Ovis aries: one gene and its partner. The protein of the gene in region 2 purifies or fractionates together with the protein of the main gene of each other region. This does not show direct contact. Links are inferred from orthologs where the notes say so. Each region holds a gene or a part of one and is shown on either strand. Other genes may lie near its edges.

Evidence for each region. Proteins that work in one complex are often made in the same cells at the same time.
Region 1: the proteins of MED9 (region 2) and MED25 purify together in Homo sapiens (co-immunoprecipitation; 3 studies listed by BioGRID and IntAct, with this or other methods). This does not show direct contact. The link is inferred for Ovis aries from reciprocal best matches to the Homo sapiens genes MED9 and MED25.

The regions. Positions count from the first base shown.
Region 1 is NC_056067.1:55,908,201-55,916,317, reverse strand, and holds the start of MED25 (mediator of RNA polymerase II transcription subunit 25), read right to left. Parts: upstream 4,624-8,117; 5' UTR 4,529-4,623; coding exon 4,395-4,528; intron 4,302-4,394; coding exon 4,256-4,301; intron 3,786-4,255; coding exon 3,661-3,785; intron 1-3,660. UniProt on the Homo sapiens protein: Component of the Mediator complex, a coactivator involved in the regulated transcription of nearly all RNA polymerase II-dependent genes.
Region 2 is NC_056064.1:34,572,617-34,580,543, reverse strand, and holds the start of MED9 (mediator of RNA polymerase II transcription subunit 9), read left to right. Parts: upstream 1-3,671; 5' UTR 3,672-3,740; coding exon 3,741-3,961; intron 3,962-7,696; coding exon 7,697-7,913; 3' UTR 7,914-7,927.

The sequences.
Region 1 (8,117 bases), on a different chromosome or scaffold from region 2:
CCACCATCGAGACTCTGGTTTGCACAGGAATTTTAATGCCACAGAGCTGGGGCAGAGGCTGATGAATCAACCAAACCTGGATCCACCCTAGTGCCAACTGCCGGTGCTGGAAGAAATCAAGCCATCTTCCCGGCCGGGCTAAGGGTAGGGGTGAGGGGTAGGGGGAGAGACAGGAAGCAGCTGCTGCAGGCATGCAGGGTCTTCTCTTAAGAGGGATGAAAATGTTCCAGAACTACACAGAAAAGACGGCTGCACAACATTTTAAATGTACTAAATGCCACTGACTTGTCCACTTGAAAATAACTGCTTGTGTTATTGAGGGAATTTCACCTCAATTTCTAAAAAAAAAATAATTTGAAGGAAAGTAAGATTGACTGACCACTCTGAGAGCCTAGAGTTTTTATTCTTAATGAATATCAAACGTAAGCCATCTGTTACCAACTCAGAGAAAGACACAAAACAAATATTTTGTCTAGACAAAAACTTAAAACTGGGGGGCACGAAAAAATATATATGGCCAGTTGGGAAGTAGGTTTTTAAATATCAAAAAATTTCAAATAAATCTCTCAGATTAGAAATAGAAAGTGAAACTGAAAAGTGAAAGTGTCCTGGGAGATACAGATGGGCTCTGACTCACCGCTTCCTTATCCTCACACCCTGCCTCGATTGTTCCTCCTGAGGTCATGCCCCTGAGTCCTTGCCACTCACTTTCACAGGCTAAGGGGCCCCACCCCTGGAGCCCCCCAGAGGGACTAGTCAAAATGAATGAATGGGAACCGCAGCAGCCTATCACCCCAAGGAAACACCAGTTGCAGAGGGCCAGAACACTGCCTGCCTTCTGCCCCCTCAGTGCCTGAGACAATCTGCCCCACAGGTTGTCTGCTGAATGAATGAATGCACAAACCAGTGAATGAACGAAGGCACAGTGCTGTGGGGAAGACACCTGGGCTGTCCCTTCTGATGCTGGGCCACCAGCTGTCAGGGGCCGGGGAACCGCCTTGCTTGTCAGACAGGAAATGTAACATCAGAAATGAATTTCCTCAAAGCAAGGACTTTCCCCAAAATCACACTGCCTGCTTTGTACTGTAAGTAACGGATGTTCCAGGAGAAGATAAGATTTCTCCATGTGAACAAAACTTGCTGACTTTCTTTGTGATCTCTGTTACAGACTTCCCCAGAACGTCACAGAAACTGAATTTAGATGGTAACATAGGACCTGATAAAACAGTGATGACTCTGAATATTCAATAATGGCTTAAAATGTTTATCGGCTGATTGGGAGGATTCCGGTGAACAGGCAGCACACAAAGCTTTCTTTTTTGGTTAAACAGGCAGTGCATTCTAAGCTGGTTAAGGGAGAGGGTGGATATAGGATGGAAGTGTTCAGAAAATATTTCCCTCTTCTCTTCCTAGTGCCCTTGACATTTTAAACAAGGGGGTTTCACTATTTCTCCTGACACCCACCAGAAGGTTCACTTTCCTGGTGATTCTCTTCCTTACAGCTTTCACTTGTTTATTTAATCGGCAAAGGACTCGCGTCTCAGGCCCCTGCTGGAGGCAAACAGCAGGAGAAATACCCAAGGCCTGGACATTCACAGTCCAGAGGTGTGGAGCTCTGTAACAGGGAAACAGCTGAGAGCAATGGGGGCAGAGGAGAGAGCAACTGACTGCTTGCTGGAATCAGGGAAAGGACGTTTGCGTGGGCCCTGGATGTTATGTAGGCGTTTACCAGGGAGAACCAGAGCATGAAGGGCGTTCTGGACATTCGTTCATTCGCTTGTTCCACAAAGTTTTCCTTGGGGCTCTTTCATGCCAGGCCCTGTGCTGGGTGCTAGAAACTTGAGGGACATCAGACTTGGACTTGAACCTCAAGGAGCCCCCATTCCACATTATTCAAGTCTCACCACAATCTGTTCCAGAGGTTCTCGACTGGGGCGGATTCTGTCCCCAAAGGGACATCTGACAATGTCTGGAGACATCTTTGTTTTTATTGTTTATCACACTGGGGAGGGAGGAGACCACTGGCATTGGGGGGGAAGGAGCCAAGGATGCTACTGAACTCCTTACAACACACAGGAATGCCCCCCACCCCTCCACAACACACATACAATAATCATCTGGCCCAAAGGGTCAACAGTGCTGAGGTTGAGAAACCCTGCTCTGCCCTGACCATGAATTCTAACAACCATAAGGGGGGAAAGTGAATGTGCAGTGCCTGGTCTAGCACGTGAAGCCTGAAACAAACCAAGTGTTCAACAAACATTTGCTGCAGATAACAGCAGCCCACGAATCCGGTTGTTTAATGGACTCTGACCAGACCCTGAGCTGAACACAGTATGAAGATTAGCTTCTGTGACCCTTCTCTGAGTGCTGATATGGACTACCGTTATCCCTCTGCAGACCAAGAAACCAAAACACAAAAGAACAGCAAAAGCTGAGGGAGCGCTTAATCGTGTCAGGCACTGTTCTCAACAGTCATCAACTCGTTTGATTCCCAAAGTCCCCTATAGTGTCACCGGAACTAGATCTCCACTGAGCACCATCTCCTGGTATTCATGCCCCCTCCAACACTGAACAGAACTGACTTGTATACTAAACAGAATGTGACACAAATGATGGTGTGACTTCTAAGATTTGATTATAAAAATCTTTGTAGTCTCCTTCTGCTCTTTCTGTTGGATTGCTCAGGCTGAGGAAGGCCAACTGCCATGTTGGGAGGACACTCAAGCAGCCCCATGGAGAGATATCTTAGGAATAACAGCTAGCAAGGAACAGCTAGCAAGTTGGCCTCTGGCCAACAGCCACAGGGTTAGCCACCTTGGAAATGGATCCTCTGGTCCCGATCCAACAGTTGGATGACTGCGGTCCCAGCTCATCTGACTGAAATCCCACAAGAGACCGTGAGTGAGAACCATCCATCAAAGCCACCCCTGAATTCCTTACTTAAGGAAACAAGCCACTAAATTAATTTTTTTTTTTTTTTTTGGCTGTGCCCCTCAGCATGTGGGATCTTAGTTTCCCCACCAAGGATCAGACCCATGTCCCTTGCAGTGGAAGCACAGAGTCCCAACTGCTGGACCATCAGAGAATTTCCAAGTCACTAAGCTTTAATCTGTTTTCCCAACACTGGATAAGTAACAGGATGACTATAAGTACTATTACCGTTCCCCTTTTAGAGATGAGTTCTATTAGACACAGAGGACAGGGACTCGTGGGTCTGGCAGTCCTGTTGTGGTAGAGCTGAAAAGTGGCCCCAGGCTGTCTGCACCTGCAGTGTGAACTATCAACATTGACTCCAAAGCACAGAGGCTTAGCCCCACCCCTCTTGCGCTCAAGCTTCAGTGCCCCTAGTAGGAAAAAGAAGGGCTAGAGTAGACAAGAGAAGCAACAGACAGAAAGGAGAATAATATATGAGGAGTAGGACGGGTGCTGGACTTCCCCAGGCCTCCTTGACCAGGAAATTCTTTCTACTTCCAAGCCAGACAGCAACACCAGCTGAGCATACAGAACCGACCACTGAAGTGACCTAGGGACAAAACCACAACCCCCATCGCAGCCCTTTTTAGCAACCAATGTGAGGGGCTGGATCCGGCAGCACCATTCCTCTGCCGTCCCTCCCAGGTTCCCCCAACCCTTCCGGAAGCCGAGAAAAGAGCTCACTTAATGCCATCGAGCCAGGTGACAAACTCATAGGCGCTGCTGGTGGGAGCGTGACATTGTACGTAGGACTCTGGAGCGCAGTCCACCGTGTTGAACACCACGAGGCTGTACTGGGTGCCCCCATACTGGGAGGGGAGGACAGGAGAACTTTTCATCTGGGACCCAGCTCCTTTTTCCCTCAGGGGAATCGGAGCTCCCAGCCCCTCCTCCCTCGGACCCGGGGGTCCGGACCCCGGTACTCCCACCTCAGACCCAGGACCCGAGCCCTTCCCGCCTCGGACCCAAGACCTGAGCCTCCTCCCCTCTCGGACCCATTAGTCCGGACCCCAGTCCCTCCTCCCTCAGCCCCAGAACCCGAGCCCCATTCTCCTGGAAACCAGAGTCCAGACCCCAGCTCCTCCCCGCTCGGACCCGCAAATCCCGACCCCAGCCCCTCGGACCCAGGTGTCCAAACCCCAGCCCCTCCCGCCTCCGACCCCGGAGTCCGGACCCGAGCCCTCCCACCTCGGGCCCAGGGTTCAGGTACCGCCCCCTCCTCCCGCAGACCCAGTCCGGACTCCCATCTTCCCTCAAACTCGAGAGTTCCAAGACTCACGTCTCCGCCGAAGTCCGTCTCGGCAGGAGGGCCGCCATTAAAATACCTGTGAGGGTCGGAAGTGAAAGGTCGGGGTGAGGAGAGAGTGTGGAAAACTAAACTCGGAGGGCGGGGTTGGGGCCGCGGAAACGGCACTCACTCTATGGCCGGGAGCAGGTAGTGCTTGCGGAGCCCCTCGAAGTAGGGCCCCAGATTGGCCGTGCCCTCAATTACAAACACCACGTCAGCCACGAGGCCCCCGGCGCGGGCCGGGCCCTCCGACCCGGGGACCATGCCCCGCGCCGCAGATGCCGCCGTCGCCGCCACCGCCGCCACCGCCGCTGCCGCCGCCGCCTCAGACACCGCGGGCTGAGCGGAAGTGCGCCTGCGCCGCGCGCGCCCCCGCGCGGGACGGCCTCTCGGCGCTGGCGGCGCGCTGGCGGCCATGTTTGTGCGGGGCGCCCGGGGCGGGTGGGTTTATCTCCATCCTCCTTCGCTCCCAGTGTGTGCAAGACTCAAAAAGGACCTAGAGAACTCCTTCGGGGACCAGAGGTGGAAGCTTGAATTATTTGCAGAACTTTCGAGGGCGAAATATACTGAAAGCGGCGCGTCAGACGCCATTTTTGAGGGGGGGGCGACCTTTCCGACACCGGTTTCAATGGAAGGGCCGGGAGACCTGGTTGCTATGCAACGCATACGCTGCCCTTGTTTTCCTAAAAAGACAGATTAGGTTTCTAGTTAAGTTCTTACTGGTTCTTGGGGGATGGGGGTGGGTGGGTCGTGTGAAGGGTCCAATCACAACGTCTAAAACGGGGTTACTAGGCAACGCTTTAAGGTGGCAATCAACTCTGAAAGGAGTGCAGCTGTTTTTTCCCCACTAAAAGAAGCCGAACTCTAACCCGAGTGGAGGTTGCTAAGCAACACCTGATAGTTGTTTTCTGGGAGAAGAGCCAGAAACTGGCCTAGAACATGAATACATTCCAGGTGGATTAAAAATGTAAATATAACAAATGAAACCATAACACTGTATAATCCTGAAGACTGGGGAAGAGTTTCTTATCATTACAGCAAAGCCAGAGCACGGAAAATATTGAGCTGTTTGTCCGCAGAAGACTTCATAAACCAAGCTGAAAACGATACGGTAAACTGCGGAAGTCACTGTAACATGTGTTGACAGAAATTTACTACCCAAATACGTATTACTGATCAATACAAACTTAGGAAAACAGAAATACTTTTTTTTTTTAATTGGGGAGGAAACTAAGCAGGTTTTTCCTGTACGCAAAAACATACTGAAAGTCGCTCATATGCACAAGTTAGTAAGTGCTAACACAGGGTCCAATGATAAGTCAGTTTATCTTTGTCATGTTAATTAATGCTGGAAAAATAAGTCCATGACGGTGGGAAGGTTTGGGTGAAATGAGCAGGCTCAGACGTGATCTAGTGGAGATGAAAACCAAAACAGCTTGCTCCAATGCAGTTTGTCAATATATTTCAAGGTAAAAGGGTGCATTGCTTTGCACTCAGCAGTATCACTGTTTTGTCTCATGTACTTTATTGATCCTTTTATTTTCTTTGCTGAACGCTTGTAAAGCAAATCCCAACATCGTATCATTTTACCTCTACCTGCTGGATAGGCATCTCCCCAAAGTTGCAGGTAACCACTATGCCATTAACATCTCTAACAAAATTCTTACTTCTTGGTATTGTCGAACACTTAAATCCATAATCAAATTTTCCCAGTTCTCACAAAATGTCTTTTTACAATTGTTTTATTTGCATCAAGATCCAACAATGACTGAACCTGTGTTTAGACATCTTAAAATTCCTTTAAATCTAAAGCAGATCCCTTCTTTTGTATGCTAGTGTAATTAAATTTTAATAAAATCATAAGGAAGATAAAAGTAAACTGGAGAAAGGCAAAATGATCAACAGGTATGGAGCTTGAAATGGTACCTAAAATGCCCTCCTAGCCATAAGGAAACTTTCCTTTAGATAAGCTGAATGCATAATTGGTTCTGTTAACTGATTTTAAACTGTTACCATGGTTACCATCAATGGATTACAAGTGGTAAAACAAACAATGAGATATTTTAGCTTGGACTTCAGCTTCTGGCATTGATAATTAGATGATATGACACTGTTTTTGCGACATTGGTGGTTTCATAAGAGGTATGGGTAGTCTTCAAGGATCTTACCTCCCCCGGAGAGGAAACAGAAATTGACAACAAGAAAAAAAGATGGGGTTGGAAAAGAAATTCCAGAGGTACTCATTGGCATTACCAAGAACCTGAAGGCAGCTGTGATGTGAAAAACTTGGTGTGGTTCCTCAGCTAAGCAATGGCCTTCCACAGCAGCTGACCTAATTCTGGGCTAGTCTTCAAGCCTCTCACACAGAGTGAAGTAAATCAGAAAGAGAAAAACAAGTATGTTAATACAAATATATGGAACCTAGAAAAATGGTACTGATGAATCTAGCAGAGGGACTTGTGGACACAGCAGGGGAAAGTGAGGGTGGGTCGAGCTGAGAAAGTAGCACTGAGGTATATACACAGTCACATGTAAACTAGTGGGAAGTTGCCAAATAACAAGTGGAGCCAGGCCTGACACTGTGATGACCTAGAGGGTGAATTCTCCCTAAAGGACTCCGACCAATAGCACAAAGACCACAGCTGCAGAGACAAGGATTGAATTTAGAATTCACACAAACAAAAATTAACCCGATGTAGCCCCATTCCCACCCCCAGGATTCAGGTACAGGAATTGTCAGGTTCATAATATACCACAATATGCAAAATAATAGAAATAAAGGACACTATTTAAGTTACCCTGGGCTGTGTAACAAATTACCCCAAAACTTAGTGGAACGAAACAGCAACATTGTTACTTTGAAGTTCCGGTAGATGGAATTGAGCTGTGGCTTAGCTGGGTCCCATGCTTCAGAGTTTCTTACAGGCTATAATCAAAGGGTCAGCAAGGGCTGTAATCATCTCAAGGCTCGACTGGACAGGACCTGCTCCCGTGCTCATTCTTGTCATTGTTGGCAGGGTTCAGTTCCTCCCAGGTTATTGACTAGAGGTTCCATGTGTTTCTGACCAGGGTCCTTGGACTTGATTTTAATCAACAGAAATTGATAAGAGGCCAAATGAGAAATTCAGGCAAGGCTTTACTGGGACTCTCCCACAGACTCTTAGCATGAGGGAGAGAAAAGAAGAACAAGAAACATGCACCCCTGCTTGCTCGTGAGGGGAAGCAGGCTGGTTCTTTTAAATAAGGTGAGGGTGGGGAGGGGTTGGGCTGGAAAGGTGGCTTAGGTTGTCTGCCCACCCCTTGGTGGTGCTGTGTGCAGGAATCGGGCACAGTACCCTGCTTTTGCTCCTGGAGCCTCAGAAGTGGCAACTGGTTTGTGGCCTTTTTGTATCTTATTGAACATTAATTAGGGCTCAGCATTTTTTAAAAAAAATCTGCTTTCAATGCAGGAACTGCAGGAGATGTAGGTTCGATCCCTGGTGGGGAAGATCCTTTGGAGGAGAGCATGCAACCCACTTTGGTGTTCTTGCCTGGAGAATCCCATGGACAGAGGAGCCTGGTGGGACAAACAGTCGGACACAAAGCGACTTTGCACGTACGTATATAATTTCCCCCAACTGCATGCATGCAGTTATTTTTAGTCTCATACTTTGTATTCTTTTGCTCAAGGAGATGTCTCTCTTAAGTGCAAGCACTCTAGTAAAGGTTCCCAAGTTTCAGGTCCCAACCTGACTCACAAGGACCTCTTTTGGGGTAAGTCACGACATGGCGTTGGCTGCATCAGAGTGAACAAAAGAGGGCAAGAGAGAGACTACAAAGAAGAATGGAAGTTGCCACTTTATAACCTAATCTC
Region 2 (7,927 bases):
GCTGCTAAATCGATTCAGTCATGCCCGACTCTGTGCAACCCCATAGATGGCAGCCCACCAGGCTCTCCCGTCCCTGGGATTCTCCAGGCAAGAACACTGGAGTGGATTGCCATTTCCGTCTCCAATGCAGGAAAGTGAAAAGTGAAAGTGAAGTTGCTTCAGTCGTGTCCAACTCTGTGCGACCCCATGGACTGTAGCCCACCAGGCTCCTCCATCAGTGGGATTTTCCAGGCAAGAGTACTGGAGCGGGGTGCCATTGCCTTCTCTGAGAACAGTAGCAGTAGTAGCTAAAGCTTCAGTGGTGGTTCCTATGTGTCAGGGACCATTTGGGGTCCTCCCCACAAGGTAACTCCTGTAACCCATTCAGGAGTAACCTCCTGGGTAACCTCCCATTAGGAGCCATTATGATCCCATTTTTCAGATGAGGAATCTGAGGCACAGGAAGACTTGTCCAAGGTTACACAGCCGGAAAGAGCAGAGCCTGGGTTCCTCAGTACCCACTCCCACACTTGGCACTTGTTCACAGTTTCCTTATAATCTATAAAAGAAATTTGACACCACACAGAAAGGTGCAGGGCCTGTTATACAACTTCACCGGCCCTGTGACCATGAGGCGCACCCTTCAGTTCTTTACAAACATTTTGACATGTATGTTTTGTATCTATGGATCATATTCATTGTTATTTTTCACGTTGCAAACATATGTATAAGTAGCAATGTACTCTATTTGCTTTGTATAACTTGCTAGTTTTTTCCTCTCATGGTTAGGATTGAGATCTGTCCAGATAGACATGTGTCACCCAGGTTCGTGGACCCTGGCCACACCTGGCTCCTGGGCATTTGAAACGTGGCTATTCCAGCTGAGATGTGCTATGTATGTAAAGTACAGAGTAGATTTCAAAGAGCGCTTAGTCTCTCAGTTATGTCCAACTCTTTGTGACTCTGTGAACTGCAGCCCACCAGGCTCCTCTGTCCATGGAATTTTTCAGGCAAGAATACTGGAGTGGGTGGCTATTTCCTTCTCCAGGGGATCTTTCCAACCCAGGGATAAAATCTATGTCTCCTTCTTTACCCTCTGAGCCGTAGAGGAAGCCCAGATTTCAAATACCTCTTTGATAATTTTTCCTGATCACATGTGGAAATGATAATATTTTGGATACACGAGTTAAGTAAAATACAGTACCAAAATCAATTTCACCTGTTTCTTTTGATTCTTTGTGTGTGGCTACCAGAATACTAAAAACGACAGAAGTATTTTGCCTTCTGTCTCTGTCGAGGGCGCTCATTCAGCTCACTCCTCTTAAATGCCCTAAGTCTGGGAGAAAGTCTCAATAGTCAGAAGTGATTTTTACTGCTCCCGGGGACTTTTCTAAGTGATATATGTGGAATAACCCATTCAGTCTTCCTGGGAGGTTATGCAGAGTCTGAAGCTATGAGCCTCAGATGGGCTGAGCAGGGTCTGGTCTGGCCACCAGCAGCCCACAGGGGCCTTAGAAGCAGGGAGAGCTGCCCAAGGACTCAGCGAGCTTTACTCTGGGCGTCAATGCCACATGGTTGTTTCTGTGGGGTTTCTGCTTTTCTTCTTCTTCTTCTTCTTTTTTTTTTTTTACTTTCAACAGAGAAGTTCTAAGCAGACAAACACTTCTGTTAATTTCAGCTTTAATGAAGCCAGCACAGGCAGTGTTTCCCTGACATCTGCCTGAAATGTTATGAGGTCAGCTCCACTCTTCACCACTAATTAACTATTTTTAGGGCAAACTGTCAAGGCACCTACTCCATTCCTGCTTCCTACGTTTTCAATTCATTTTCTTTACCCATATCTATTTATACCTGAAGTGTTTTTTTTTTTTTAAAGAGATACCCTCATCATTCTACCAATGATAAAGTTGGGGCTGGTAATGAAGTTATAGAAACGCCAGGAGGGAAAGATGACGTGTGATTTCTACTGGGAGATTATTGATGAATGTGGAATTCTTTCCCAACTCTGAATAAAAACCTCACATTAACATTTTGAACCACAAAGTCACAGGGCTGGTAGGGACCTGAGGTCTCCTCTGTGTTGGTTAAGACCAGAGTCTTGCTGTCTGATAGCTGTGTGGCCTGGATCAGATTCTTAACCATCTATTAAACAGAGACACTAACATCTACTTTCCAGAGTTTTTTGTGGATTATATGAGATGATTGTGCTCTGTCCCTTGTACATACTTTCAATCCACAGTAGTTGTGGTAATTACTATTATTATCATTACACCGCCCTTATGTCCCCAGGCAATTCCAAGGGTGTACAGCCTCTTCAAGCCCGTCTGGTCCTGTCCCAGGGGGTCCTTCTTCCTCCTTCTCCACCAGAACCCTGAACTTTCCCTCAGGGGGAGAGGCCCACAGTCAGCAGCCCCCCACCTCCCTGTGCTCACCTGTGGGGTGCAGTTTTTATAAGAAAGCTGTGCTAAGGCTGTTACCAAAGTGCCCTCTGACACACCGTCCACCCTCCCCACTTCCTTCCACAGTCTCCTCCCCTGGGACTTGCCTCTACAGACTCCTCCTAGATGCCTCTGAAATACCAGCACTGATGCTTCCTTGGCACCGGCCACCTTGCTCTTCAGTAGAGGGGTACTTCCCAACTAGGATGCCACTCCCCATCACACAGCCCCCTCATTGTGGCTTGGGAGGGCTTGTTTTGAGGAACATACCCACAAACCCACCAGGAGTCCCCTACTTTGACCTAAGAGCCCACTGCTGCTAAGTCGCTTCAGTCGTGTCTGACTCTGTGCAGCCCCATAGACAGCCACCCACCAAGCTCCGCCGCCCGTGGGATTCTCCAGGCAAGAACACAGGAGTGGGTTGCCATTTCCTTCTCCAATGCATGAAAGTGAAACTGAAGTCGCTCCGTCGTGTCCGACTCTTAGCAATCCCATGGACTGCAGCCTACCAGGCTCCTCCATCCATGGGATTTTCTAGGCAAGAGTACTGGAGTGGGGTGCCATTGCCTTCTCCGCCTAAGAGCCCAGGGCTCATGCAAAGGACACCTTCAAAGGTCAGCCATGTGTCTGAAGTTGGAAAGTGGTTTGGGCTCTGCCATGACCCTGAACTAAAGATTTTAGAGGTGAGCACACTGAGACCGGGGGCTTCAGGAGCTGGCCCACAGGTACGGAGAGTAGCTGACACTGACTTCTCCCTCGGATACAGTATTTATTCCTGGTACTAATCCCCTTCGGCCATCTCTGCTCGGAGTAAGTTGAGACAGACCTCACCCTTCCCCCACAGTTAGCACAGCGTGTGTCACCCAGAAGATGCATATTAACTGTTCGGTTTATTTCAGGGTCCATAGGGTAGGCGCAAGACCTCGTCCCTGGAGGCTTCTGCGCGGGTGGGAGCCGTGGGTCCTTCCCCTCGGATCCTCCACGGGCCCAGGGCCTGACACCCGCAGGTGCGGAGGTGCTGTCCACTCTTCCTGAGGCCCCATTTATCTTCCTCTACAGGTTGCTTTTGGATTCTCTTTGTAACGTGAATAGGAATGAGATGTTATTCCTGAAGTATACCTTCTATTTCTGACTTTTGAAAAATTTAGCTGTCTCTGCGCACCACCAAATCCAGGCTACCAAGGACCAGCCGCCTGTTGCCTAGTAACGACCGCCAGGCCCGGCCCCGCCTCCGCGGCGCACGATGGTGACGTCATAATCAGCAACACTTCCGGCGCGCGAAGCCGACTGTCCCCCTGATCGGCTGCTGGGGTCCGGGACACGATGGCTTCTGTGGGGGTTGCTGCCGGCCGGCAGGGTGAGGACACGCTGCCGCCGCCCGCAGAGCCTCCGCTGCCGGAGATGAAGCCGCTGCCGCAGCCGCAGCCGCCGCCGTCTGTCTCTGCGCAGCAGCCGCAGCCCGCGCCGAAGCCTCCATCCCCTGCCGGCGTGAAGGCGGAGGAGAACTGCTCCTTCCTTCCCTTGGTTCACAGCATCATCAAATGGTAAGGGCCCGGGGGAATCAGCCCGCACGCCCCCGCTGCCCATCACATGTCCAAAATCCAGGGGCGCCCCGCGGTACCAAGGGGGAGACACACCCGGAGGGGAGCGGCCACGCCGAGGCCACCGCGAGCAGTCCCAAGAGTTCAGCATTCCCTCCTGGGAGTTACCAGGCCCCGTGCTGGCAAGCAGCGTTCTTAAAACGAAGCCGATGTAGACAGCAAGTGCACAGACGCTGCGGGCAGACCATTGGGGTGCAGCCTGGTGAGCCTGTTTTCCCACAGATCCGACAGATACGGGTCATCTTCCATGTGTGGCACACTGCTAAGTGCTGTGGCGTGTACACGTGGAGGGGCCGACTTTTCATCCCCACCTTGCTCACCAGTTAGAAGGGGAAACTAATGAGCGGAATAACCCATAATGCAAAGAGATTATAGGGGTGATGTTGGGAATTTTACAGGAGTAGGACGCTGCCCTCCGGACAGCACTGGGGTGCCCTGTCCCGGCGACACGGGGTGATTGTCTGCTTTTGGCCAGTCTTCAGATCACCTGAGTTTTCAAACTTATCCTTAGAAGGAAAACACACACACACACACAGCCAAAATCTCCCCAATCCCCACATTTGCCCAAATTATTGTTAACTGTTATTTATGTCTACATGATAGCAAAGTTTAAACCCCTGGGCTTGAACTTTTTATTCAGCCATTAAAAAATAAAAGCAAAGTGGATTACAACAAAGTTGTAATCTTTTACAGTAACAAAGTTGTTATTTTTACAGTAACATTCAAGTGAACATCAACATGCTCTTGGATGTTTTGCTGAAATGGAATTGATACTCACAATACAAAAGTATTGGTGATGGCCTAGCCGGTTTAGAGTTGAGGCGGATTAGATTCACTTGCCCTGGGATGACCTGACACTTCCACTGCTTTTCAGACGACTGTGAAGACTTTGTTCTCACAGTAGTCACAGTAGACCTTGACTTCATCTGGCTTCACTTGGTGTGAACATAGTGTTTATCGGGCAAGGCAAACTGTTCTATTCCCAGGAGCCTGTGATCAGGTAGCACTTCTAGGCAGAGTGACCAAGCAAACACACACAGAAGCAGCCCTGGAGTCCCAGGCATTATCCAGGATCAAGCCAAATATGCTTATTCGGGTTTTAGAAAAAAATACGGAAAAATGAAAACACACAGTGTTCTCCGAGTCTATTTTTGACCCTGATAGAGCAGTTGGGTTGGGCTGGCCTTAAAGATGGAACTGTATTGTCTGTGAGAAAGAACATGGGCTTTGAAGTCAGATCTTCTTGAGTTCAGATCTGCATGTTGATGCTTGCTTGTGTTGGAATTTTAGTTAAGTGCATAGCCTTTCTAGACCTTGATTTTCTTATCTCTAATATATGAGTAATAATTGTTCTTTGTTCAGTCGCTCAGTTGTATCTGACTCTTTGGAATCCCATGGACTGCAGCACACCAGATTTCCCCATCCTTCACTATCTCCCAGAGTCTACTCAATCTCATGTCCATTGAATAGGTGTTGCCATCCAAAAATGAACCACAGATGATAGCTCTATAAGGTACCAGCTGAATGACCTTGGTCAGACAGCTTAAAGGCTTGTACTTTCCCAAGATTTGTTTTAGGAGAGAGTCAGCCAGAGTGTCTGGACTGGGGAACACTAGGCACATTGTGGGAGCTGGGGGAGGGGAGCCATACTGAGAATAGGAGCTTGAGAGCAAGTCCACAGACTGGACATTGAGACCCAGCCCCACCCTTCACCCATACCTCCCCTTTCCTGTCCCCAGCTTCTCAACTGACAGCCAAAGAAAATAGACTCTCTTGGGTGTCTGACCCCAGAGACACTGAACCAGGGAGTCGAGGAGTCATCCGAAGTTTTTGAGCTAGTGCTTGGGTTTTGTGAAGGTAGATGGGACAGAGGGCTTTAGGAGGAGGAGAGGACTGGGGTCCACAGGAAGCTGGGGAGTAGGAGGAGGAACAGGGATGAACTGCAGGTGGTGGCAGGCAGAGCTGCAGCACTGACTGAGGGGACTGTGGGTGCCCAGCACACACAGGTGCAGGTGTGGGATGGTCATCCCCATTCAGACCGCAGGTGATCAGTTACAAACATCCACATACTCGTAACAGCCATGTCATCTAGCTGTCCGAGGTGCATTTCAGGTGAAAAAAGAACCAAGAATCAGAACCATGTGTGTAGTGTGGTTACATTTTTGTCAAAACAAATTGAAAAGTGATTCAGTTACACATATATGGACATTCTTTTAAAAAAAATATTCTCTTCCATTATGGTTTATCATAGCTATTAAGTATAGTTCTCTGTGCTATATGGTAGAACCTTATTGTTTAAAAAAAATTTTTTTTTTTGTTTGTTTGTACCTTGTCCTTTCAGACTTATGTGTTGTGAATCAGTTTTCTTAAAACTATAATTTAATTTCAAAATTGCCTTGGGACTTAAATTCATAACAATGTGTTAGCACATATGCCATCCAAATGGAATGATTTCAGAAGTCCAGATGGTGTCTGTCAAGAGTTGTAGATCAGAGCTGAGACATGAAAGAAACAGAATATAAAACGCTTCCTTGAAGCTGGGGTGAGGTGCACCAGAGTTGGTGTGTGTGAATCGAGGACCTCAGAAGACAACAGGAAATGTCTTTATTTGTTCCCCAGAATAAACTATTGATTCTCCAGATCTTGCTTCCAAGTTCGAGTTATTGATAAATAGTGAGCAGGCCCCAGTGTATCTCATCTTTCAGGAATGAGCTCTAACTAGCGGATCACCAGGAAAGATGGCTATTCTGTCTGCGTAAGCAGAGAAATGATTAATAATAAACATGAATTAGCACCATCTGGGTTGAAATTGCCCAATAGGGATGAACGTTTATTGAGAGAAATAAATGATCCTTGACAGCTTTCCCCTCTTGTGCCTCAGTGGGTGACTTTTAAAACAGCCTGTGCATCGGCTTTTAGATTTTAGTCTCAACCGCCTGTTTTCAAAGGCTCATCTACCCATTTCCTAACTTTTAAAAAATATACAGGAGCAACTGATGGGCTGTTTCTGTGTTCTCAGGTGAAGGGTTTTGTTCTTGCTTCCTTTTAACTTTGCCGAGACAGGGAACATGGGTCTCCGGGCAGCCGACAATAGCTACGAGTGAAGATATCCCACCTTTAAAGTGAGTGGGACCAGAAGGCTCAGTTTACCTGAGTTGGTGGGAAAGGTGGGAGAGAGCGAGTATCTGCTGAAAGTTTTCCAGTAACTGTGACTAATGTAAAATTTATGAATAGCTCTGTGGAAATCAGACTGCATGTTAACAGGTTCAGGCATCAGAACATCAGCTAAAAGTAGCTCTTGCTCATTGATCGTCTCCTGAATGGCCTATAGTGTCTCACGTTAGAAGGAATGTGGTACTTCATTAGGTTTTACTTGCCACTTGTTGCCTGATGTTGGTGATGGTTTTTCATTCATTCAGCAGATATGTAGGAACTTACCTGTGTTCACTCTTTCAGCAAATGTAACTTTGGTGCCTGCAGGCTGGGCTGGGGAGGCAGCCCTGGAGGAAGACCCAGCTTCCCATGTGCACCTGCTGTGGGGAGGGGGGCAGGGGTGCTTGCCCATCCCCCAGTGCACTGATCAGTGTGCAAGCGACAGGCATTCTAATGCGGGGTTGGGGCCAGTGAGGAGGGAGCTCCCAGGTTGCTGGTGCTAACGCCTGCCCTCTGCCCCCGCAGCATGGACAAGGACAGTCCTGACGTCCACCAGGACCTGAACACCCTGAAGACCAAGTTCCAGGAGATGCGCAAGGTGGTCAGCACCATGCCTGGCATCCACCTGAGCCCCGAGCAGCAGCAGCAGCAGCTGCAACGCCTCCGAGAGCAGGTCCGGACCAAGAACGAACTGCTGCAGAAGTACAAGAGCCTGTGCATGTTTGAGATCCCCAAGGAGTGACGAGCCGACCCCAG